Drosophila melanogaster: one gene and its partners. The protein of the gene in region 4 interacts with the protein of the main gene of each other region in a pairwise test. Each region holds a gene or a part of one and is shown on either strand. Other genes may lie near its edges. The genes, in order: Dlip2, CG5011, Elys and Trs33.

Region 1 (5,292 bases), about 11 Mb from region 4:
TGAATTCATGTGCTAAGTTAACGGGCATCATAGACCTTCAAGATAGCATAAACGTGGAAGATGGTGTCCATATGGGCCTGATAAATAATATATATGAAATATATATCCAAAATTGGGTCGCATTTGAAGAGTTTAAGACATTCAGCTGAAGGATGTCCTTGCGGAAGACTCGACACAGATTGGAATCAATAAATTCAGCCGATTCTGAGTTATATAATGACATTATGACATCGAAGCCACTGTTGAAAATGTTCGGGAAGACTGACTCCGTCTTGGTTTTTATGTCAGCTATGTTTTGAAATTACCTAGTATGGCATATATTGAAAAATTTCTGCTAGACTAAGCATTAGTATAAATATGTATATAACTAGTTCAAACCACAATTTTTGGAACCATAAGAATTGTTCGCACTTACGAAATAGTGCTAATGGGTTATCCTTTAACCAGGCGCTTCAGATTGGTAAAGAGCCGCAACGTGAAGTGGTAGATCATTTCCACAAGACTCAAGATGGAGAACCCCATGAATAGACCGAAAATGCCACCGCAATTCGCCAGAAACTCGGTCATTCCGTAAAGCTCCGACCGCTTTGAAGTGATGAACTGACTCTGCTTGAAGTAAATGGACAAGCGGGACATCTGGGAGCCGGGATACTCCTTCAGGAACTCAGTGTCGCCCTCAGCCACTAGCATTTCTTCCAAATCAAAGTTGGCCTGGGAAATCTCCGTGTTGTAGACGAGGGATGTGCATGCTGGCATGCAGTTACAGGCAGATTCCACGCTCCGCGAATTTTCTCGGCCAGCGTTCAGCGCTTTTACTCTTTTGAATTCCCTGACTAACAACTCCCTTTCTGCCCGATCGTAGCAGTGGATCTTGTCCTCTCCGCATACAGGCATGTCCACGTTTCTGGGCATCGAGAACTTAACGCATCCGCACTTGGTCAGCGTGAAGTTGGCCAAGCACTCCAGTTGGCAATTTGATTCGGTGTACACCTTAAAAAAACGCAGCGACCGCTCGTGGCTGAGGAAGCACTGCCTCCGAACTGGATGGTACTCTGCTATTCCCGACGACATGGTGATCATGTTGGGCTTCACTGCGATCAGCACCTCCTTGCCCATGGGAATGCGCACAAACTGTTTGGAAACCTGCGGGACGTCATCGGGCGCATGAAGCAGTACCTGTAGATTGGCATTACTGTAGACACATATTGGAGCAAGAAAAAGCAAACAGCTACGTTTTCAAATTTTCCCACCTTAAATCCCTGCACAGGTCCTCGACAGGCGTAGTCCACCTCCTGCTTAAAGCTTTGGAGGGCCAAGAAAATGCCAGATCGCGCTCCGGCACTTAAGACACGAGCCGGAAAGGTCTCCACATCGCTGTCCAGTGCATAGCCCGTTTCCAGAGTCCAGGCCGTATGCTGCGAGCTAATATTTTCCATTTCCAGGGGCTCCCCGCTGTGTTGATACTGATAGGTGTCGTCCCGGTATATCTCAGTGGCTCTCAGCCCATTGAACGTATAGCAGATGCCCTCCTCCGTAAGAGTCTTTCGGAAGAAGGTCTCGCACTCGCCGAAACGACTAAGCCAGCGGCAGTAAAAGAAGTACCGATCAAACTGGGGCAGCATCCGCTGCAGAACATCAAAGTAGTCCAAGTCATCGCCGGCTATCAAGGGTATGTCCTCTTCAATGATCTGCGTGTTGCATACGTGCAGCAGGGTGCGGAACTCCTCCATCTCAAGGGCACTAACGTTTTCGGGCCTAAACACCCGCGAAGCTCGCATATCTTCGCTGAACTGGCTGTAAAGATCAGCATAAGTGGTCTCTTTTCCTGTCAGACAAAGGTTACATGTTAATATTCATAGTCTGTACAACTAGAGGCTTCCCGAATAACAAACCTTTCTGCTTTAGCACCCTTTTGGTCTCCGAGCAAACTGTGACCGCCGGAAACGGGATGTTCCACACGGGGGTCGATTTTTCCGCGAAGCTAACGATCACAGGCTTTAAAAAAACGCAAAATATTAGTTTTGTTGTCGGCTGAAGGCAGCAAGAGCACTTTTCATTTTACAGAAGACCCTGTAGTGTTCTTATATTTATAAAACATAACAGTTAGGGTGCATAATATATCGCATAATACATCGCAATTTTGAAGGATCTGTACTTTAAATGCTATTGTTTCAGAGAGCTTTTACTGATGCTACGTATATACATATGTATGTATGGTATGTTCTACTAGGGACTCGCACCGTTTCGGTCCACTTGGTGTAGGCACTTTGAATCAGCGTGGAGCAGCCGTAGATCGAGATCAGGAACACGAACAGCCAAAAGATGCGCTCGCGGAAGGGGCGCTCCTGCTCGCCAAGATATTGGACACCATGTATGGAAGTGTTCCTGCAGTATTCATGGTACGTGGTGATAAATCCTTCGCAGGCGACGGAACCTGCCTTCCTTCTCCTCCTGAATGTCAGGTCGATGCCCTTGCTGCTGTCGAGTTCCGAATCCGATATGGTCATGGTGTCTATTCCATTCTTGACGCGCACAAACACAGCTTCAAGTAATCCATGTGGGTTGGAGACGAAAACAACGTGAAAGACAAATGGCAAAACGAGAATTTTTTCCCGTTTCTTGGCAGACCTGCCAGATTGACAGGATCTTGGAGAGAACTTGCAAAAAAACGTTCGGATGGTGACAATTTAGCGATATATTTTACTTCCGAATTAAATTAAATTTTGTTGAAATTAACAAAAACGAAAAACAGGTACATATTTGCTGCAACTTTATTAATTGTCATTGTTAACACGTTATCCCAATTCATTATTTGCACATTCGCCTGTGTTGTTAAAAATTAAAACTCCAAAGAAAAATATTTCAAAACGCAGAAAAGTGGAAACGAGTTGAAAATCCAAATCCTCGTTACGCCTCGATATGTATCGATAACGAATGCTTCGTACACGATTTGTACTGTTTACTTAATTATTAAGATTCGTAATTATTTAAATTTATTTAAAATGGCGACAAGGTCTTGTGCGTACAAGGACTGTGAATACTATTACGTAGGCCACGAAAACGCGCTGACCAAAGGAAGAACCCTGTTTGCCTTTCCCAAACAACCGCAAAGGGCGAGAATCTGGCACGAAAACGGCCAAGTGCATCCAAAGATTCCCCATAGCCAGCTTTTTATGTGCTCCCTTCACTTTGACCGCAAGTTCATATCCTCCTCTAAGAACCGAACGCTCCTCGTCGGCGAGGCAGTGCCGTTTCCGTACGAGGAAAGCAGTAGCAAGCCGGAGGAGGAGCCCCAACAAGTGGCTTCCACTTCGCATGAGAGCTACTATATAAACCTGAGCGACGATGAGCTCAGCATCAACAATGTGGACACTACCTCAGTTACTACAAGTAAGTACTATAAATCCACCGGGCCTTCGAAATAGAGCGGGTTGGATTCATCATGTCGGTGTTGCATCTTAATGCTTTATTAACTTCTTTAACATTATTTTCAGTTGACGCAGTCCACGATAGTCCACCGCAGAAGCGCCCGAAGGAATCTTCCATTGTCATTGCTCTAAAGGAAGCTGTGAAAATGGAACCCAATCCGAATGCAGGCCGAGTTAGAGCAGAACCCGACAATATAGATACTACTGAAGTGTCTGTGTTCAACTTCAAGGGACAGGAGTACGTACAAATGTCTATGGAGTATTACTTGCAGGAAAAGCGGAAAATGGCTAAACTTTTGCAAGACTATAAAAATGCTTTAAGAAGCATTAAGAAACATATTTCCCACCTTGACCTTTAACTTTATCAATGTAATACATGTTGTTCTTCTGTCAATTTACTGAACGTTATCTTAGTTTAAAAGCACCTGACGAATTGGGAAACAAACCTAATAATTTATTTTATTATACTTGGAGAATAAATACTGATAAATATTAATTAATTTGTTACACTTTAAATTTCAGCATTTAATTTCTTTCGTTTAAACCTTAAATACCGCAAACAAATCTAAATTATACTCAGTATTATCTATTGGAAATATTTTTAAAGTATTTAGTTAAAATGTTTACTTTTACAAGCGCATTAAGATGGTGTTTGCCTAGATACTTTTAGCTTATGCGATACCTTAGCATTTGTAAATAAAATGAAATGGGTCCTCAACTAATCGCTGAGCTCCGGGGTATCTTCAATATCGCTGTCTACATCAATGTCGTCGCTCAGATCCTCGTCATGATCCTGCAGTTCTTCAGGCACGCCCAAAAGAAGACGTTTGCGCTGCAGCAGTGCTGCCCAGCTGAGACGAGTCTCACAAAGCGGACACTCTCCTCCAACTGGGATGTAATGACCTGGCTCGTCGCCCAGAAGGTAATTGGCCAGGCACACCATATGGCATGTCAGCCGACACATTTGATTTGTGCATCCCAGGCGGGATTTCTCCGGTTGCTCCATTTCCTGCATACAAAGGTGGCACTCGGAAGCCCACGCCACAGGTGGAGGAGGTACTGCATCATCAGGTCTCCTACGTTGTGAGGCACTAATGGAAACCTTGCCACTCACAATTTCCATGTGTTTAGGCAGTGCCTTGCTGAATGGCCTCTCGTAATCCGTTTCTAGCCAGCGAACGGTGAGCGGTAATCTATTCCAAGGGCCAACCCCCAGCATATTACTAAGGATCCTAAAGTTGTAGTCAAAGAACGTCTCCCTGGGCAGTTTTCGTTTTAATTCAGGGTACATTTTAAGCCTAGTTGAAAGCGACGGCTGTTGCCAAGCCCATTCAAACTGGAGTGCCACTGTATTATTCGGGAATCCGTGCACGATCATTACCATCAGCCACGGCCCTTTGCGACTGGTTTTCCTCGCGCCACCGAAATCACAACCAAGATTGTGTTGGCGTATCCGCCGTTTGGGGTTCACGGTGAAGCCCACGTAGCATTTTCCCCGGTAGCGAGGATCCAAGCTCTGACTGCATAGCAAATAGACGCCGTAGAAGTGGCCCTTCAGCGCGACGGATTCCTCCTGTTGAGAAGCTGTGTCCTGTGGGTCTGTGAATTCACCAACAGATAGATTAATGAAACTTGCTTTGTGTCTGCAACCAAAAACCAACGACAAAGGAGGCGACACCCTAACTAAAGCAATGAGATGAGGTTTTCAAGATTTTCTAAAATAAAAAAAGAAATAAAATTATTTTAGAATTTTAGTTTGGCTAAAATAGCTAAGAAAATAAGGTGTGTTAAGTGGTAGCTGTTTCTCAGCCAAAAAGGAAGATAATAAATGGAATGCAAAATAACTTGTTCCAGGTTCTTATAC
Region 2 (4,489 bases), on a different chromosome or scaffold from region 4:
TCTCGGATGTTTATGCCATTAGCGTTTAAGTTGCCCATACAAAGTGCGACTCGTAGGTAAGCAAACGTTCCTTTGTTTTGGCTTCCTTGCCTGTTTTTATTGTCGAGAGACAGAGGTAATCGATGCTCAGGCTAGTTATTGAAAAAATTATCGAGGAAAACCCGAGGTACAACTCAAATAAATTCAATGAAATTGTTACTAGCCAGCAAATAGCTGTTGCTGTTCATTTGGACAAGTACAATTTATTTATTATCACATAAAATGCTTGCTACAAACTTTGAAGCTTTGTGAAAGCCCAAAAATATGCTATATACAATCACGAACAAATTTATCTGCACTCTATGCAACACGCTGAGCAGCAGCAGTGGTAACATTCCATGTCTGGATACAGATCCTGTTCCTCAACCTGTTCCTGATCCTGTTCCTGCTCCTGGTCGTACATCCTCTTCCGCCTGGCTGACCGATACAGTCGCCGGATGAGAGCTCCATATGGTTTCCGCGCCATCAGGTGAGTGGTTGTCTTGTGTATTTCGTAGACGCAATTCGTTTCGAGACACACAAAAGGCTCCTCCACCTGCAGGATAGTTTCCGATCTGAGATTGGGTACTGGCATTGGTAGCAGACTCCTCTGTTTCAAGATATTGATCTTGCTCTTCTTGACCACCCTCCTTTTCTTGGCAGGATTGGGTGCTGTAATGGCACCTTGGATCTCCGCCTCGAAGGATTCCTGGCGCCTGGAGGCCTTGCTCTTCAAGGCCGAAACCGTTTTGTATCGGTTCTGGATATCGGTAATGTTTCTCAAGGTCTGCTTAAAAGCAACCTCGACTTGCTCGACTTCCTGCAGCGTATTCCACAGATTCTTTTCCATAATTTGTTCACGAGAAAATTTTATACAATAAAAAATTTGAATACAAGAATGCACACTCCTCCCACTTCAAAAGATCATACGAATATACAAATCCTGTTCGATTGAAAAATCAGGGAAGCTAGATGTGTGATTTTCTCGTTGCGTTGTCATAGGGAAATTCCGATATGACCACCAAGTACTCACCTTATCGCAAAACAGGCTGATAAAATGTTTTAATGGGAAAACCAATGCCTCCAGCAGTCTTTCGTCACTATATATAGCGTGGAAATCGGGGTAATACTTTAGTTCAGAACGGAAATCGCTTTGGAAACATGCCACCACCACCGCACCAGCCCCACCAACCGCACCCACCGAAGGGTCCTGCGCATCCTGGGGATCACCAACCAGGACCGCATCCCCCTCACCACGGAGATCCGAAGCCCCATCACGGACATCACTAGGCCCATGGACAAGGACTATAAATAAGATTCAATTTTATACAGAACAAAACAAGATGGATACTTTTTAGGGAACTTAGTTTCTAATAGAAAGTCTTAAAAACTCTTCAAACCAAAGAAATAAAAGCCTGTACAAAATACATAGCTCTACTCTTTTCTATATCTTCAATGTTTATGATCTTGAATTGGTGATACTGCTTAATGCATTCTAAGCTTCCATTAATTTGAACAAAGCATACATATGATTTGAAGATCTAAATGCTTTTTAAATTATAATACACGTCCTAAGTGCAACGTACTAAGCTTAAGAATTTGTTGCTGATTGTTGCTGATTGTTGCTTACAAAAATAAAATATTATAACATCTCCATATTGTTGTACTTATGAACTACATGCAAAGTCGTCATTAACTTATTCTTTAAGTCACATATAGACATATCAGTAAACAATTCGCTTGTTTGTTATTACTAATTTCGAATGTCATACATTTGTTTTTATTGAGCGAAGTGTTGTTGTGGGAAAACCCGAAACTTACTTATCAACCGAACTGGGCTCGTCTTATCTGAAATTTAGATAAGATTACAACGTATTCGAATCATTTTCCTATAAATGGTTTGACAGGATAGGCTTTAGCTTAGTACTCAACTAAAGTCAGAAAAGTCAAGATGCCACCTCCACCGCACCACGACCACCACCATCATCATGGGCCACCACACCATGGACCTCCCCACCATGGGCCACCGCACCATGGTCCTCCACACCACGGGCCACCGCATCACGGGCCACCACACCACGGACCGCCGCACCATGGACCTCCGCACCACGACCACCATCATCATGGACCACCACACCACGGTCCTCCAATGCATCCTCGATGAGAACTATAATACAATATAAGCCGAATTTAACGTTATAAACTGATATGGAAAAACTTAATCGTTAACTGTGATTAAGCCACAAACTAACATTAAAATATCTTCACTAACTTCTAGTTAGTTTCACCAAGAGCAAAATGTTTTTATTTTAGAAATTGTTTAATTTTATAACACCATTATAAAGATACTGATTCTAATAAGCAATTAGAAGAATATTGAAGCAAGAATTGATTAAGTATGATTAAGTATCAAAAAGCCAGCAGATAAGGTAGACAATTATATATAAAAGAAAGTCCCTCTCCACTAGAATGCAGATAAGATTACAGCCTACTGAAACTATGTTACTTTTGTATAAAAGGTCTGGCAGGAGTGAGCCAGTTTAGTGTACAACAGAAGCCCGCCAAGCAAAGATGCCTCCTCCACCACCGCACCACCACCACAACCCGCCGCCTCATGGGCCACCGCCCCACGGACCACCGCACCATGGACCTCCGCACCATGAACCACAGCCCCCGTTCCACACGCCAGTGCATCCGATTTACCACGAACCTCCTCACGGAAACAGCTCCGGCTACAATCCTCCGCCGCCGCATGGTCCGTATCCATATGGTCCAGGATACGTGGCCCCAGGACCTCCAATGCATCCGCGATAAGAACTGAACTGTAATCTAGATCGGTTAATATAGTGTGATATCAACAAATGTACATTTGTGTGTGATTAAAAAATATGCTGCTTTTAAATATATAAACTAACTTTAGTTAGTCACGCCTATGTGTGATTCAAGTTTTATTACTTGTAGCTTCTATGCCAACAAACAATCCCATTTCGAGTATGATGATATATGCGCCTAATAAGATAAGGACGGTTTTTTGGAATTCCCATAGGACCGTCATAAAGATAATCCATTGAAAAAGTCGTCATTCTTTAGGTGCGTTATGATAGCTTATTTTCGGGTACTATCAAATTCTTGAGGTAACACGTCATTACTAATATTTCACTAGGAAAACAATCAATCAATCAGTCAATCAATCACTGGATTCTTTATTAATACGTGGGCTTATCGTATTAGTCGAATGTCATGAATTCTTAACTGAGCATATCTTTGATTTATTGGCTCTTTTCCATTCCATTTGTTCAAGAATAATATTTTTGTTTTTATTTTGAACGCTGAACTATTAGTAATCATGCATATAAACCTGTTGTAAACCTTATCAATGAGTTACTTCAACTCAACGCTAGATAAAGCTGTGCAATCTTATCGATAGGAAATACGCATTTGCTTACATTAGTCAGAACCTAACTTAGATTGTTGAGGTGATTTTTGGGGTACGCCACTGTTGATTTTTAGGGAAAGTACAAAGGGATGATATAATATATAACTTTAAAGACTTATTTAGAATATAACAGTATTTTAACAGTGCTACTTAATAATGGGAGCACATAGACAAAATTTGTTTTTAAAAAGAATATATTACTCATCCGCCACGTTGGCTGATATGGTTATGACCTTCTGGCTGGATAACTAGTGTAATACATGCGATTTTCGCAATAGACCCACCCCGTTTGTGACCGCAATCACTCAGGCGTTTAATAATTGACTGCATCTGCGGTCGAATCCCAATCGAATCGGGGTGGGTGGGTTGTTTAATGGAACAGACCCGGGTAAAAATCAAGCAAACGGCAAATAAAATTTATAACAAATCTAACACACATACATCATTTTGATATGGCCACGGACACGTTCCGTCCGTCTATTTGCTTAAGGATGGATGCTTCTTCGGGTGGCAGCACATGGACATGGACGCGGTCCGGACTGCGGAGCATCCACAGCTGAAGCAAGAGCTGTAGTTGGAGCTAAAGCTGAAGCTAGTGCTGGAGCTGGAGCTGGAGCTGGGGGCAACTTCAGCCGGGGCAGACACATTAATTTTGCTGCTCGCTTTCCTAACCGCATGCAATTTTTCTTGGCTCGCTCTCCGTCGGCTATCGGCTTTCAATGGCAGGAAGCGCACCCCGGAGGAAAGTGGGCTGCGGATCCTGGATGGGATGTGCATAGCCCACATCCTTCAGCCAGTCAGTTAGTCAGTCAGCCAGATAAGTGCGGTTTATGTGCAGCACGTAGACTGACTCAATACACTCGATAAATTGCGGCGGCGTTCGGCTGCTTAGAAGCGGGCAACTTGACCGCCACCAAAAGGGGGGCACAGTGGAGGAGCGATTACTAGCTCCATCTGATTATATTTACGAATAAAAGTTGTTTCTAAAAAAGTTGAAAACTGGGAAGATAATAACTACATCTAAGTGTAATTGTA
Region 3 (9,744 bases), on a different chromosome or scaffold from region 4:
GACTTACTCCGCTCATGGCCACGCAGTTGGTCGCCGTAATCTGACAGGCGGACATGCTCAGAAAGACGAACAGGGCCGAAATGCAGGACAGCAGAATCGAGTATGTCAGCGGATTGATTGTCTCCAGTTTGAGGCATTCTTCCAAGAGTCGCAGTCCTGCCGGCACAGATGGGCGTTCCGCCACGAGGAGAATGCGGCTTAGCACGCCGTCCAACACACTGACCAGCGCATCCCATTCCAGGTATACTGGATCCAGAACGCTGCACGACACGTTGCCGCTCTTGACCTCCGCGTCCGCTTCAATCTGCGCGTTTCGCAGTCGTTGCTGCAGCCACTGTTCGCAGTAGCCATACGTGACCAACGGCTGCACCAGGGTGGCCAGGCGGAAAATCTCAAGGAAGTCGGTCCGGCAGCGGAAAAAGTAGAGCGCGTACTCCTCTTCACTATCGTGTTCTAGTCGAATATATGCCTCCGTGGAGAGGCTGGCAGGCGAGCTAGCGGAGGCAGGATATGGCAGCTTCACGATCCTGGGCGCAATCGTGTGGATGAGCTTGGGAATGTAGTTGACCATGGCGAAGTCTTTGGAGGAGGGCTCATGCTTAAGCAGCAGCTGCCAAATGAGCGCCGACCCATGCGAGAGGCCCAGCGATGGATGCTGGACGAGCAGCAATAGGCATTCGAGAAGGACTTCCAGGTGCACTGGTCGTTGCGTGGCGTCGTCCTTGCCCCAAAGCGCCACCAGTTGCTGCGCCATGCCGTTCAGCACTTGCAGCAACTTCTTAAGGAAGTTGAGGTGCTGCTCGACGGCCAGTGTGGAACTTGTGTCGGCCGGTATCTGACTGGCCTGGTAGATGTAGCGCAGCGGCTCCTCGTTGAACAGCTGAAGCAACGGCTTTCGCTCCTTGGTCTGGCCCTTGCGGTTCGTGATCTGCGCCAGGCACTCGGCCGCATTGCATTGGAATGCTTTGTCGTTGAGCAGGATGCAGAGGAAGTGCATCAGTTTGCCATTGCTGGACATGATGTGCTGGATGCTGACCCACTCGACGAAGCCGCTCAGCGTGAGCAGTACCATCTCGACGACACGGCTGTGCGCGTTCGCCTTGGTGTAGTTGCACAGACGCGTTGTCTCGCGGAACGCAGTCACATGCTGCTCCACCAGGCGCAGGAAGAACTCGAAGATGTCGTTCATGTTGTTGTTTAGCGCCTGGTACATGTCCTTTCGCCGCTGATTCGACTCGATTGTCTGTAATAGGGCCACGTCCTCCACCAGTCGCAAGAAGACCAGAAGCACCAGCTCCGTTTGGGCCTCGCCCTTGGTGCAGGCCTGGCTTAGCTCCGGCAGCAGGTCGGACCACTGCTGCGGCCACTCGCGCTTGATCATCTCGACGATGATGCGCGACAGCGCGTCCTTCGTGGGCAGCAGCGAGCGGTCCTCCGCCGGGCCCACGCCCACGTTCAGCATCTTGATGGCATTGTCCTTAATGTACACCTTCTCCTCGTGCGTAATGCAATTCCATCGGTACTTGATTGTGTACTCGATCAGCTGCAGGCCAAAGTGTCGCACTTGCTGGTTAGACTGCGGCGAGCTGGCCAGGAATAGGCCCACCTGGGCGCACATTGGCGACTCCTCCTTAAACCGCTCACAGGCCATGTAGGCCTCCAGGCGCGCCTGTTGCTGTGTCATCGGGTTCATGACTAGATCGATGGCCGAGGCCAGTTCGGCGGCCAGAGCCTCGGTGCCTCCGTGCTGGGACATCGCTAGCTAGCGTCTACCTGTGGGTATTGCGTTAGATTGGAATTGAAACAAATTTCCTGGGTGCGGCTTCTTCCTGCAACGGGCGCCATGTGCTCCACTTACCTCTGCTTGCCCCTGCCCACCGCTCGAAACCCAAATCTCGCCTAGCCTCTCGATCTCCGCCGCGATCCCCTCGTGCGTTGTCTGTGACCAATGCTTTTGTGGAGCCAGCCAACCAGCCAGCGAGCCAGACAACGTTTTGGAAGATTAAAAGAGCTGCCGCTACCTGTGTGCGTGTGTGCTATGTGCTATGTGCTGTGTGTTGTGTGGTCTGTTCCGTGTGCGAAATGCGGAATGCGTGAGCTGGGATTGTGGTGTGTTGGTGTTCTGGTTGGGATTGCCTGTGGGCACCGATGATCGCCCTGGGTAGCGCCTATTGCCTGGAACACAGCCTCTGGTCAGGTCTCTCACATTTGAGTCGCATATAGAAGTAGACCACTACTGAAACCGCTTTTCCGGCTGGGTTGTTTTAGAACAATGTGCAGCAAATCGCACGGGACAGGGTTGACAAGCGGCGCACGAAAGTTGCCAGATAGTATTGTTGCTATTGTATGTACTAAGAGCTTGACTCGGAGCTATATATGCCTGAATTGAGTGATACAAGGCATTACGCTTCAAGGTTGCTACTATCTGTGTTCATTCGGACTTCAAATGCAAAGCCAGCCGGTTGAGTTCCTTATGAAATTCGCGCAATATTTTCGCAATTCTGCAGCGTTGCCAGTCTGCTGGTGTTGAAGTTGCCAGGCTGCAAGTGCCGGCTTCTAGTCTTTTCTTCAAATGATTGGCTTGCCTCTCAGTTACAAACTTGTTTAAGCATGTATATAGAAAAAATTGAAAATGTACAGAAATATATGGTAACTAGTAACTCAAGTCCTTGCCATCGCTAAATTTGCGAATCTCTGTCGGACGTTAGCCAGCACTGGGCCACTCAGCGTGCATACACGACAAGCAAAACAACGGTTTTTTTGTATGCCAAATCGAGGCGGCAACGCCAGGCCGCTCAGGCACTCACACACTCACGCACACACAAAACATACACGCCGATCAATCGGTGCAAGAGCGCTGTATTTATAATTTTATTTTTATTTGCAAGCGGCCGGCATTGATGAAATAGAGATGGAGTGGCACGAAGTGGAGTTGGACGGTAGCCGCACGATTGCGTTCCCGGAGCGCATAGTACCCGGATTTGGCCGGGAGCCGTCGGCACATTTGGACGCCGGTAAGTGTGCACAAAATACGGCGTGTGCCGAAACCGATTCACCAAGAATCTCCGCTATCCCTTTACAGCCGAATACCTGGGCGGCATCATACGCGACGGGCAATGGGGCTGGGTGACCTGGCGGTATGGAAGCGATGCCACTTTGCTGGTCTGCAGCATGTCCACCGGCGATTACCTTTCTTGGCACTGCTTCTGGAGCGAATCCGATGATCTGGGGCCGCGCAAAAGCATTCGCTGCGTGGAGGAGCTCTTCCCCGGCGAACACGAACGCCCCGCTATGCTAGCCATCTGCCTGGAGTCATGGAACAGCGGCGATCAGAGACCCATCGACTGCCCGTTGAGCACGCAGGTGCTCATCTATGCCATTCGCAACAGTCAGGTGCTCCGCCGCTTCGACCTTCACGGTATAACGTGCAGCGCGCTGACGTTCCTCGATAAAAGAATCTATGGACTCACGCGACTGAGACGGTTTAAAGGCTGTCTGGCCGTGGCCACCGAGGAAGGCACTGTGCTGTTGGTTGATCTGAACAGCGACAGCCTGCAGGCGAGTACCCAAAGGCGCAGCCTTTGCTCCCCCAGTTCCAAAGATGAGCCGTCGGACGGGAACCTATACTTTGTATCCTCCGAGGAGTCCAAGAGGCAACTCAGCTCCAAGCTGACCCATTGTCGCTCCAAAGGGGCTCACTTGGCTGTGCGGATGGACGGTGAGTCTGTCACTGCCAGTGTGCCATGGTAGCTAGGTTAACCTTCAATTTACCAACAGTGGCATCCATTGGAATCAGTTGCCTTATGGGCATTAGCATGGCGCCCGGCTATGCTGCTGGTCTAGAAGACGGCCGAATCCTGATCTACGACCTAATCAACTTCGACGTGACCACTGATCTGAATTCGCCAGTAAAAAGGAAAGGGGTCAATAGAGCAGTGAAGCGAATGTGCCTCATTATGCCACCGGATGACCCCAAACCCTGTTTCTACATCTGTGCATTGTACCAAAATATCGACGTCCTGCAAATGATGCTGCACTCGGTCTGCTACAGGGGCTCGTACCGGGACCGGGAAACCCACACGATCCGTTTTAAGGTGAGAAATCTTGAGCCGTCACGCACAGACCAATATTGACTTCTTGCTTCGCAGGACTACCGTTCTAGAACCGTGCGCAACCGCCAAATCTTGGACGGAGGCATCTGCTCCGTGATCGGCTGCGCCACGGCGTCTACTTTCAGTTTTGCCGGCGACAACGGAACGCTGCTGATTGTCATCTCGTGGCACTCAAGTGCAGATAAAAAGAACAAGCTAGTCCTGTTCGACATTAATCAGTGGTACAAGGATGAGATGCCCACATCCGTTCACAAAAACGAAGTTCCTAATTACATGTCCGGCTACATACTCAGTGGTCTACAGACGGGACTGGCATTGGATTTGCGTTCCACCACCATATTGCACTTTGTCTCACTGCAGCGCTACGATGAGCACTTTTATCCCAACTCACTAACCTTTGGTAAGTGACAGCGGTGATTGAAGCCAGCGCCAGTAAGATTAATAGCCAAGTAATACCGTCTATTTCCAGATTGCTCACTGTTAACTCCAACTGGCAAACGGTACTACGCCCAGGACGGAGTGCAGCATCGGTTTCTGAACGCACTTCGCTGTGATCGTGCCACGCTCTTTTTGCGTCCTCAGATCTACCACGAGGACATCGTTCGCCTGCGTCTCCTGCCACAATTTTGTGAGCTTAACCCTAACGCCACATTCTCTAAGGTGAGCTACACACTAGGTTATTATTATCAGTTATCCGGAAATCTTCTGGTATCATATAGTACCACAGTCTTTGGGGAAATGAATCATGCTCGTTATACTCGTTTTAAAGTAACATTGCATTATCTTGCTCTCTAGATTGCCATGTACGAGTTGATACTGTCGGTGGCCCTGGAGCACAACTGCGGAGCTTTGCTTAACGACTGCGCACGGAGTTGGATGGATGGCAGCTTCTTGTGCAACATGATTGATAACACGCAACTCTCCTTGTCCACGCTGACCAACTGGATCTTGAAGCGCGCCGGACAGATCAAGACGAGGTGCTCGGAACTTTGCCATGGCATCTTTGATTACGGCGGCTATCCACTGGACCAGCGGGAACGGCGCGAGTTTCAAGTGCTATCCGGTCAGCTGCGTGAATTGGTACGATTGCAGTCCTACATTGTCGAGCAGGGACGGCGCAGGCTAACCTCCTCAATTTTGGACGATTGCCGTGCCAACGAGAGGGCGCTGAAAACGGTTCTCGAGTACCAAAGAGTGCTGCTTTGGTTTATCGATCACGGCCTCCTGCCGGAGGGTCAGCACATGGATAATCTGGTACCCGGCGAGCAGGCCTTCGTTCGCCTGCAACACGAGTACTCGGAAAAACGAGCGCAGGGAAAGATCCTCTACATTGATTCTCTGGGAAAACGCGCCTCCTTTCCGGAACCCTATCCGCCGGACTCGCTGCATGCGTATATACACTTGATGCTCAGTCCCGACATAGAACTCTGTCACAAACATGCTCTTATCCTCTACCTGCTGATGGACCTGAACCAACAGCTGGTCGGGCGCTTTCAGATTGCCTTTCAGCTGGACAAAGATCTGGCCACGTCATTGCGCTGCTTCTGGTACTTGGACCACGGCGATTACGAGGTGAGTTCGGATCGGTTAATATAAGCGAAAGTGTTATATTCATTCGTTTTGTGATGTATTTGATTACAGCGAGGCGTAGAGGAGCTATACAAGGAGCCTGCCCCCGCTAAGAACTTGAAATCGTGGCAGATGCGGCTGTTAATAGATAAACTGCTGGCTGAAGGTGCCGTCAAGGCAGCCAAGAAGGTGGTCAGTCGACCACCCGGTCCATTGTCCTCGGCGCTGCACATGAAAGTGCTCCTAGCCAACGAAAACATAACGGAAGCATTCCAAATCGCTCGCCTCGACGACGACGAGGATGGACAGCCGCTGCTGGAGCGCTTCTTCCGCCACTGCATTGAAATCAGACGCTTCAAAGTTTTGGCCGAGCTGTACCTGCGAGAGCCAGAGGAACGGCTGTTGTACAGTCTACTGCGCCAGTGCAGATCGCGTCAGACGGATTGCGTGCAATTGATAATGCTGCTTCAAAAGAGCAAGTTCATCGAGGCCGTGTCCTTTATGGATGAGGTGGCCGCCGAGCGGGAGCGAGATGAATCATCCAATACAATACTCCCAGCATACAGCGCTACAATGGGACCAGTTACACAGAACATCGCCGGCACGTATCTTCGCATCAGAGACACCTTGGAGCCCTACCAAAAGACCGGTCCCTTGGAGCCATTCAGCTGCCAGCTGGTCAAACAGAACGCCAGCGGCCAATTGGGCGGCATCTTTCAGAGTTCTGCCGTCAGTGCCCACTGGGCAACGCAATGCGAGTCCCCTCCAAAGATGACTCCCGTTTCGATCCAATCAAAAATAGGCTACACCAATGTGCCATTCCTGCGGCACGCGCAATACGGACATTCGGAGCTTCCACTTCCTCGGCGCATAGTAAAGCCGGTACCACACCAGGTGGTGGAGAAACGACAGCGGGAGCTAGAGGATCAGCGTACCAATCTACAGGACCAGAGGCAGCTAGGCACGGAGCGTCCCAATAAGCGTCCTTGTCTGATGGTTGAACGAATGGTGGAGGATGTTAAAGACTATGTGAGATCCATTCGAGAAAAAAGTTCGAACCAAATGGAGCAGGAAGAGGTCAAGCAAAACGAGGCGACCAATCTATTGCAGCCGCCAAATTTCCTCCAGGCGCGACAGTCGACGACGATACGCCAGAGCAGCAGTTCGCCACAGCCGATTCCACCGATCCTGAAGGGAAGCGGGGCCGTGGATGCCGTTAAGAGAGCTCCGCCGGTGGCTACATTCACAGCGCTGGCGGGGCCAAAAAGATTTCGCTTTGTGCCGCCCATTCCTCTGCGAACTGATAAATCTGATAAATCGACGGAGATGGGCAGCGAAGGTGCGGCTGAGGGTGAGGAGGAAACTGACGAGATCATTGTGGAGATCGAGTCAAGAAGCGAACCAAGGAGCGCCTGCAGCTATGAGTCCGACGAGGAGGATGAGTTCCTCTCGCCTTTAGTATCGGCCAATGTGTCTTTGGTGGATCCGGTACCATCGCGGAATTCTCCTCATTATTTCGCCCCACCAGCAGGACCACAGCCCCGAAACTCATTGCTACATGGGGGAAATGGAAGCGGTAGCAAGATTGGTACTGCAACAGGGAGCGAGAGTAGTAGTGGATTCGGTAGCTTCAGCACTGTCCAGCCGGCTCAGACGTCATCACATTCCCAGTTTGTGCCCACCGTCTGCTCGTCCAAGATGGGCGAGACGCAGTCACAGGTCTTCTCCAGCGGCAGCTGTGGGATTAAGATTTCCGAGCGCACTACCATCTGTGGCGAAATGGAATCCACCGATCTTGGTGCAGAATTGACGGCCGCACCCAGCGCACAGTGGTCTCTGCCATCAGCAAGGCCGGCTATACAGGGGCACCACCAGATGATGGACACCACGCTGGGAATGTCCACTTACGATGTGGCGTCACTTGAGCAGCAAGATACTCAGGATGTGGAGAACGAAGAGGAACTGAAGCTGGGTGACACAAAATCGCTTGAGGAGCAACAGAATCCACAGGACGAGCAGAAGCCGGAGCAAGAGCAGGATCAGGATGAGGATCAGGCGCAGGAGCCTTTGGCGACCGGTGGTCAGCTGGCGTTCCTAAGCAACTCAGAAGGAACGGCCCAGGAGCCCCTCTCCTCGCCCATCTACAGCCTCAGTAGCGAAGACTCGAACGTGTCCTCGGCCGGCATTCGGAATCCCATGCTGCCAACACTGCACACCGATGACCCAATGTACTCCATCGTTGTTGAGTCGCCGGGCTCCATAACCACATCCCGATCGGTTACGCACACGCCCACCTCATTCCTGCCCAGCGACACGAACGTATCACAGACATCTAGTCCGCAGGCACCTCATGGCGAGGATGGAGATGGCACGCCGATCTCATTGTACCGCGCCAATAGTCTGGAAACGGTTGACGACCTGGACACCACCAAGGGCTCGCTGGAGGAAGAGGAGGAGTACGACGATGATGATTGCGTCATAGCGCTGGATGGAACAGAAGTGCGCGGCTATGTCGCCCGACCCCAGCAATCGGCGGCCTCCAGCAGTGCGGAGCTGTTCGCCTTCAAGGACGAATGTCAGGAGGAGGCGGCTGGTGTCCCCAGTCCATTCCTTTCGCTGGGCGCCACGGTCAACAGCGACTCGGATGTGGCCGACACCATTGTCCTAGATAGCGATGAGGAGACGGCGAAGGAAAAGGATACTCAGCCGGAGCAGCGAAAGGATTGGCCAATGGAGGAGGAGACCCCGAGCAACGAGTCAGTGGCCACAGTTGAGTTTAGCGAGCAAAAGCAGCCACGTGCCGATATGGATATCGGGATGGAAGTGGATGCGGTGCCGGACGTGCTGGAGGTGCTGGAGGTGCCGGAGATGGAACCCTTGCCAGTACTTTCCGATGTGGATATCGAGATGGCGGTGGATGAGGTGCCGAACGTGCTGGAGGTGCTGGAGGTGCCGGAGTTGGAACCCTTGCCAGCAGGGCAAGCAACGCAGTCTAGTGGTCTTGGGGAAATTCCAGAAGAGGATGTCGACGCAGAAGCCGAAGAGCAGGTCGTTGTGAAGGTCGAACATGTGGCGGATGAGCAGCCCAAAGAAGGAGACAAGACGGAGAGCAAGGAAGCTTCCGAGGAGGAAACCCAACATAATCCAGAACCACTATTGCCCGAAGAGGAGGATTCAAGACACAGCCTGAAGCTGATTTTCTCCGGTGATGAGGATGAGGAGGAGCAAGATGTGCCAACACGGGCGATTCATACATTGCGACCGCGTCGCAGCTTCACGGAGCACCAGGACAGTCCGCGAACTCTGCGACCTCGTCGCGTCTCCCAGGAGCATCGCGATAGTCCGACTCCAGTCGCTGGTCGCACGATGTCTTTGCGCAGCACCGACGCCCCAACTTTATCGCCCGCATCCAATCCACCAGTCTCGACTCCCAAGCGTCGTGGGTTGCAGCACAAATATCTGCTGGAGGTGATCGACGAGCATAGTCCCTCGGACCTTTCGTTACCGCGCACCCGCTCGCGAACGCGCCTCAGCGTGGACTCGGAGGCAACGAGCTCCAGACCCGGCACGCCCACAATGACCAAGGCACGCGGCAAGAGGGCCACCTCGCAGGCACCGCCGACGGCGAGTCCCTCTGTCCGGCGATCATTGCGCGGCCACAGCGAACCGCCCGCTGCGTTGAGTGCGCAGTTGGTGCGCAAACCGAAGACTGCTCGTGCGGGGGTCAGATCGCGCAAGACGAGCTCAGGCGTCCAGTCACCAGTCGCCGTCTCTCCGACTCCGATCGATGCTCCCATAGATGTACCCGATTCAACTGCACCAGAGGAGGAGCAGCCGCGTCTCCGTCGCACCGCTAGGCGACGCATCTCGGAACTGAGCGATCAGTCTGCGAATGGCACAGGTGACCTTCGCTCGGAAGCCTCCAGTTCTAGGACCGGCTCTAAGTCCAACTCTGCCGCCAGCACGCAGAACCGGGAGCTACGTCCGCGCTTGCGTCGCACCTCCAAGTCGGAGCATTAGTTATGCACCCGGATCACCGGATCAGCAGACTCAGAATCGGCTC
Region 4 (4,621 bases):
TTGTAGATCGCCTCCGCCTCCGTATAATGTTTTAATTTGCCAAGCACGTTTGCTCGAATGAAAAGGATACTGACATCGTTGGGTAGATGTTGGAGAGCCTGATTAGAGATGCGCAAGGCGTCATCCTGCAACCCCTTGTTGTCCAGCATTGTCAGAATGTTAGCCCAGGCTTTTGGCTGGCGGGGATTTAGTGCCACAGCATGCTGCCAATGATGAAGCGCTTCGGCGTAACGTTTCTGCTCCAGATACAGATTGCCCATGTTGTAGTAGCAGACGGCGAAATTGGCTCTGTACTTCAGGGCCTTCTCATAGCTGGCCAGAGCCTTGTCGTACTTTCCCTGAGCCGACTGCACAATGCCGAGATTCATCCAAGCCGCTGGAAATGCGGGATACGCCTGCAAAGCCAATCGAATGTATTCCTCGGCGGTGGATAGTTGACCGTGCTCCCGATACAGGTTGCCGAGGTTCATAAGAGCTGACTCATAGTTCGGATACAATTCAATGGCCCTGTGGTAGTGCTGAAAGGCTTTCGTATTGTTTCCCATATCAGTGGCCAGTCGGGCTATGTTATAGTGTACCTTGGCATTGTCAGGACACACCTGTAGCGCGGACTTGAACAACTGCTCCTCGTTAAGCCAGTCAGTAGCTCGCTGCCGAGTCCGTACCATCATAACCGAAAAGAGCAGCATTAAAAGAATCCGTAGAGCAGTGCGCCAGTGGGTGTTTTCCGTACTGCTGTCATACCAATATAAGAATCCATAGATGGACAGCAGGCAAAAGCCAATGGAGGGTACATAGAGCGTCCGTTCGGCAATCACGAATCCTACGCAAATGATTCCCGACGCGGGCAGGAACGGGACGATCATTAAACCCAGAGCTAACATCATTCCGGGCAGCCGTCGGAAGTTCATCAGAGCCACCAATACGATGGAGTAGAATCCGATGACGCCCTGCAGTCTCAGATCCCAGATGTTGGTCACCAACTTGACGCAACCCAATGCCCAGTCGTAGCATAGCCAGTGGGGGCACAGCATCAGCCAGATGTTCATGACCAGCAGATACTGCTGGGAGAGCCCACGGGTCAGCACGTGCTCATTGTGCGCAACGGGGTTGTCAACTTCCTTGAAGGTAGGCGTCTCAAAGTCCTGCCACCAAAGGCGAGCCGTCAGCAGACCCAAGGTACCCAGCAAGTAGAACAAGTAGCTGATCCGGGTGCGCAAAAGACTCCACTGATCCTTGAATCGCAGATGATAGTAGCCGTTTTGAAAGTAATCCAATAGTACACACGACATGGGGATGGTCACAGCGGACTCCTTGAACAGCATTCCCACAGCGGTGAGCAGCATGATTAGACCGCCAGTCTGTGGACCAAGTCTTCCGGTATTGGCCACGGTCAGCAGAAGACACAACAAGTGAATCATGCCGAACATGAGCTCGGCCCTTCCAACCACACCAGAAACCGCCTCTGTGTGAATTGGATGGGCGGCAAATAGAGCAGCGGAGAGGATGGCCCATCTTGCCGTGCTGACCTCCGGAACATAGAGAGAGCGAATCAATCGCCACATGAGCAGCGTGTTGACGCAGTGTAGCAGGAGGTTTAGGAACTTCATGTGGGCGGCACTTAGCCCCAGAAGGGCATACTCGCAATGGAACATCAGGGTGGTCAGTGGCCGAAATGATTTGTGGGAATCGGAACTGAGCAAGGAAGCACCCCAGAAGTCGTGCGTGAAGATCGCCGTCCAGTTGGTGGGCAGTGAGTTGACATCCCGGTTCTTGACGATGGCCACCGTATCATCGAAGACAAACTTCGCTCCACTGAGGCCACCGCATCCGTAGCATAGCAAACAGATTAACACTAGGATTGCCTGACAGACCATGCTATGCAGCGTGGCTTTGTGAACGAGGTCTAGCATACTGGATTATTTACTAATTGTCAATTGTTCAAGTTTAATTCACTTATTCTGCGAATTTTAATCGGAATTGTTTTGTATACATTTTTTGTTGTGTTTTTGTCCAAACACCCCCTCACTGAATAGTGATGCCAGATCAGCGATAGAAATGTGTGCAGCTTAGCTAAATATATGCATCGAAAAATATATGGTTATAAAATGATTTGAAATTACGCTAAATAGATCTATCAAATCTGCTCATTTTAGAGTATTCATATTAAAATAATTATACATACTCTTGATATTAAAGTATAAATAATAGTAATAACAATAAACCACTAAAAGCAAACAAGACATTCGCCCGTTAACGCTTGCAACAGCTGTTTAAATCTAGATCAAAACAAATCCGAGGAAAAATTTGTTGAACTCACAAAGAAAAATTAAATCCTCGAAAATGTCTGAAGAAATCCTTTTCGATTGCCTCCATGCAGAGATAGTCAATTATTGTCTGGATAGCAATAAGGTAGGAACACGAGGGACGCAAAAAAAAATCAGTCATACAACCGATTTTGATTTGGTTCCGCCTATTAGGAGCACGACCTGGCCACTTTGGAGTATATAGGCTTCACCACCGGCTACCGCCTGATTGAGCGGCTCACCCGTGAAGTTTCGCGTTTTAAGGACGAGTTGGAGACTATGAAGTTTATATGCACCGACTTCTGGATGCTTATATACAAGAAGCAAGTGGACAACCTGAGGACGAACAACCACGGAATGTACGTTGTGCAGGACAAGGCTTTCCGCTTTCTGACTCGCATCTCGCCGGGCACCAAGCAGCTGGAGCACGCGCCCAAGTTCGTGGCCTTCACGTGCGGGCTGGTGCGAGGAGCTCTCAGCAATCTAGGCATTAACAGCACCGTGACGGCCGAAGTGCAAAGCATACCCGCCTGCAAGTTTCACATAGAAGTGAACAGGAACTAATTAGGATGTAAGGCAATGGTTTATTACTACAATTATAGAGATACTACAGACTAGACTAGGCTATCTTTTCGTAGAATGCCACAATGTTGTGGTCAGTCCAGTTAAGGCGTTCTCGCAGGATCCACTGGTCGATGGGCAGTTGGGGCTGGGCGGGATTGGGATCTGTGTGGATTCCCAGGGCGGGCAATGGTCCAATCAATATAAGCCACTTTCCTTGATACACATTTAGATAGTCCAGAAAAGCTCCTCGATTGTTGAAGTAGCAGAAGAGCAAGGCACACGGATGAACGTCACTGCAGCATTTGGTCAATAAATCCGTATCCAGTTGGCTGGCATCCTCTAAATAGTTAAGCGGTATAAAACTTCGAACGGAGTACTTGCTCTGCCACCAGTTGCGATCGACCTCCAAGCCAAACATGGGGACTTTCCGACCTCCAGACACTGTCATAAGCCATTCCAAAAGCCCACTGCCGCAGCCGATGCTCAAAACTCGCTGGATGTCGTGCATGGCTAGCAGCTGATTAAAGTAGTCCAAGTCCACCGATGTCGGCCACATCCAGAGCAGCTTGCGCTTGAGCTGTTGGTCCAGGCAGTCGCCCAGGACAAGCAACTTGCGCCAGTTGCACGACGCATCATCAGTTAGGTAATAAATTTCACGCAGTGTCTCGAGTTCCGATTGCTCGTCCATCATATTGAATACTGTTAGTTGCAAATTAAGCGGTCTTGCTGCTTCCGATGGCCGGTGAACTTGGCAGTGACGCCGGCACGCGGAAATATGGCTAGCGGCCAACAAGATTGCTGCGGTTCGCTTCGGTTCGCAGCACCTGACTGATCTCTAATAAATTAGAGGACCCCTTTGAAAAAGGGCCAACTCATTAGAGATCATATCGTCACTTTGTGTTTTCTTCTTTTTGGTACCAATATTTGAAATTCTTGCGCCAGTGCATCTCGCTAAATTTGGAGCTACCTTGCCCCGGGACACGCGGCTGGTGATGTTGCATGGCTGGTTCTTGGGCATCGGGGCTAGGTTCGCTAGAGTATTCCTCGTTGTCCAGATCCAAGATGATCTTGCGATACAGCTGGACATTCTCCTCTGGCATTACATCTGGCAGAGGCAGATGCTCTGGGACAGCTTTCCCTTTCTCCATCTGCAGTTCAGGGAGTTGAGATGGCAGTGGCGTAGATTGCAGCAACATCACTGGCTCAACGTTGCCCACACTCTGGATCACACTGTTGTATCTTACAGTCTGAGATGGTCTTTCTTCCGCCGTCGTGGCCTCCTGAGCACTGGACCTCGGTGTAACCATTTCAACAGTACTGGCAAACGCACAACCAGGGTGCATGGATCGCAGATGTCGCAGCATGTTGTCCTTTCGGTTGATAGTGATGTCACATTGGATACAGCGGTAGCGTTCGGCAGTCTTGTGTTGTCTTAAATGTCGGCCCAGAGCATCCGGATCATTGTAGCTTTTGCCGCACAGGGAACAGGACTGACGTTCGCGATTTGAGTGGCGCTTCATGTGCAGCCGAAGCGTGGTTTGTCGCAGAAAGGACTTCTGGCACACTTTACACATGTGCCGAATATTGTTCTTGTCGTGTTTCCGCAGATGCTGGTTCAAATTGGCCTTGTTCTGGAAATGCTTAGAGCAGAGCTCGCATTTAAATTGCAGGCCGAGATCGCTGTGGATCGCCAGGTGGCTGGCAAGAGAGCTCTTGCGGCGGAAAACCTTCTGGCAGATTGGGCACAAATG

What was found.
Region 1: the proteins of Trs33 (region 4) and Dlip2 interact in a two-hybrid assay, tested with the Drosophila melanogaster proteins (one large-scale study listed by BioGRID).
Region 2: the proteins of Trs33 (region 4) and CG5011 interact in a two-hybrid assay, tested with the Drosophila melanogaster proteins (one large-scale study listed by BioGRID).
Region 3: the proteins of Trs33 (region 4) and Elys interact in a two-hybrid assay, tested with the Drosophila melanogaster proteins (one large-scale study listed by BioGRID).

Annotation. Positions count from the first base shown.
Region 1 is NT_033777.3:4,643,279-4,648,570, reverse strand, and holds Dlip2 (dorsal interacting protein 2), read left to right. Parts: upstream 1-2,915; 5' UTR 2,916-3,002; coding exon 3,003-3,390; intron 3,391-3,494; coding exon 3,495-3,787; 3' UTR 3,788-3,922; downstream 3,923-5,292. Other genes in the region: rpk (ripped pocket), read right to left, coding at 433-1,176, 1,233-1,825, 1,893-1,995, 2,241-2,507; nuclease slx1, read right to left, coding at 4,147-5,027.
Region 2 is NT_033779.5:1,198,271-1,202,759, forward strand, and holds CG5011 (uncharacterized protein), read left to right. Parts: upstream 1-2,400; 5' UTR 2,401-2,589; coding exon 2,590-2,832; 3' UTR 2,833-2,950; downstream 2,951-4,489. Other genes in the region: CG5139 (uncharacterized protein), read right to left, coding at 329-868; CG43348 (uncharacterized protein), read left to right, coding at 1,180-1,308; CG43349 (uncharacterized protein), read left to right, coding at 1,970-2,182.
Region 3 is NC_004354.4:19,649,545-19,659,288, forward strand, and holds the start of Elys (elys), read left to right. Parts: upstream 1-2,760; 5' UTR 2,761-2,911; coding exon 2,912-3,014; intron 3,015-3,082; coding exon 3,083-3,718; intron 3,719-3,777; coding exon 3,778-4,094; intron 4,095-4,148; coding exon 4,149-4,512; intron 4,513-4,581; coding exon 4,582-4,772; intron 4,773-4,907; coding exon 4,908-5,684; intron 5,685-5,753; coding exon 5,754-9,701; 3' UTR 9,702-9,744. Other genes in the region: Ranbp21, read right to left, coding at 1-1,756.
Region 4 is NT_033777.3:15,348,643-15,353,263, reverse strand, and holds Trs33 (TRAPP subunit 33), read left to right. Parts: upstream 1-2,268; 5' UTR 2,269-2,343; coding exon 2,344-2,412; intron 2,413-2,480; coding exon 2,481-2,870; 3' UTR 2,871-2,919; downstream 2,920-4,621. Other genes in the region: Tmtc4 (transmembrane O-mannosyltransferase targeting cadherins 4), read right to left, coding at 1-1,913; CG42727 (uncharacterized protein), read right to left, coding at 2,926-3,561; CG42726 (uncharacterized protein), read right to left, coding at 3,761-4,621.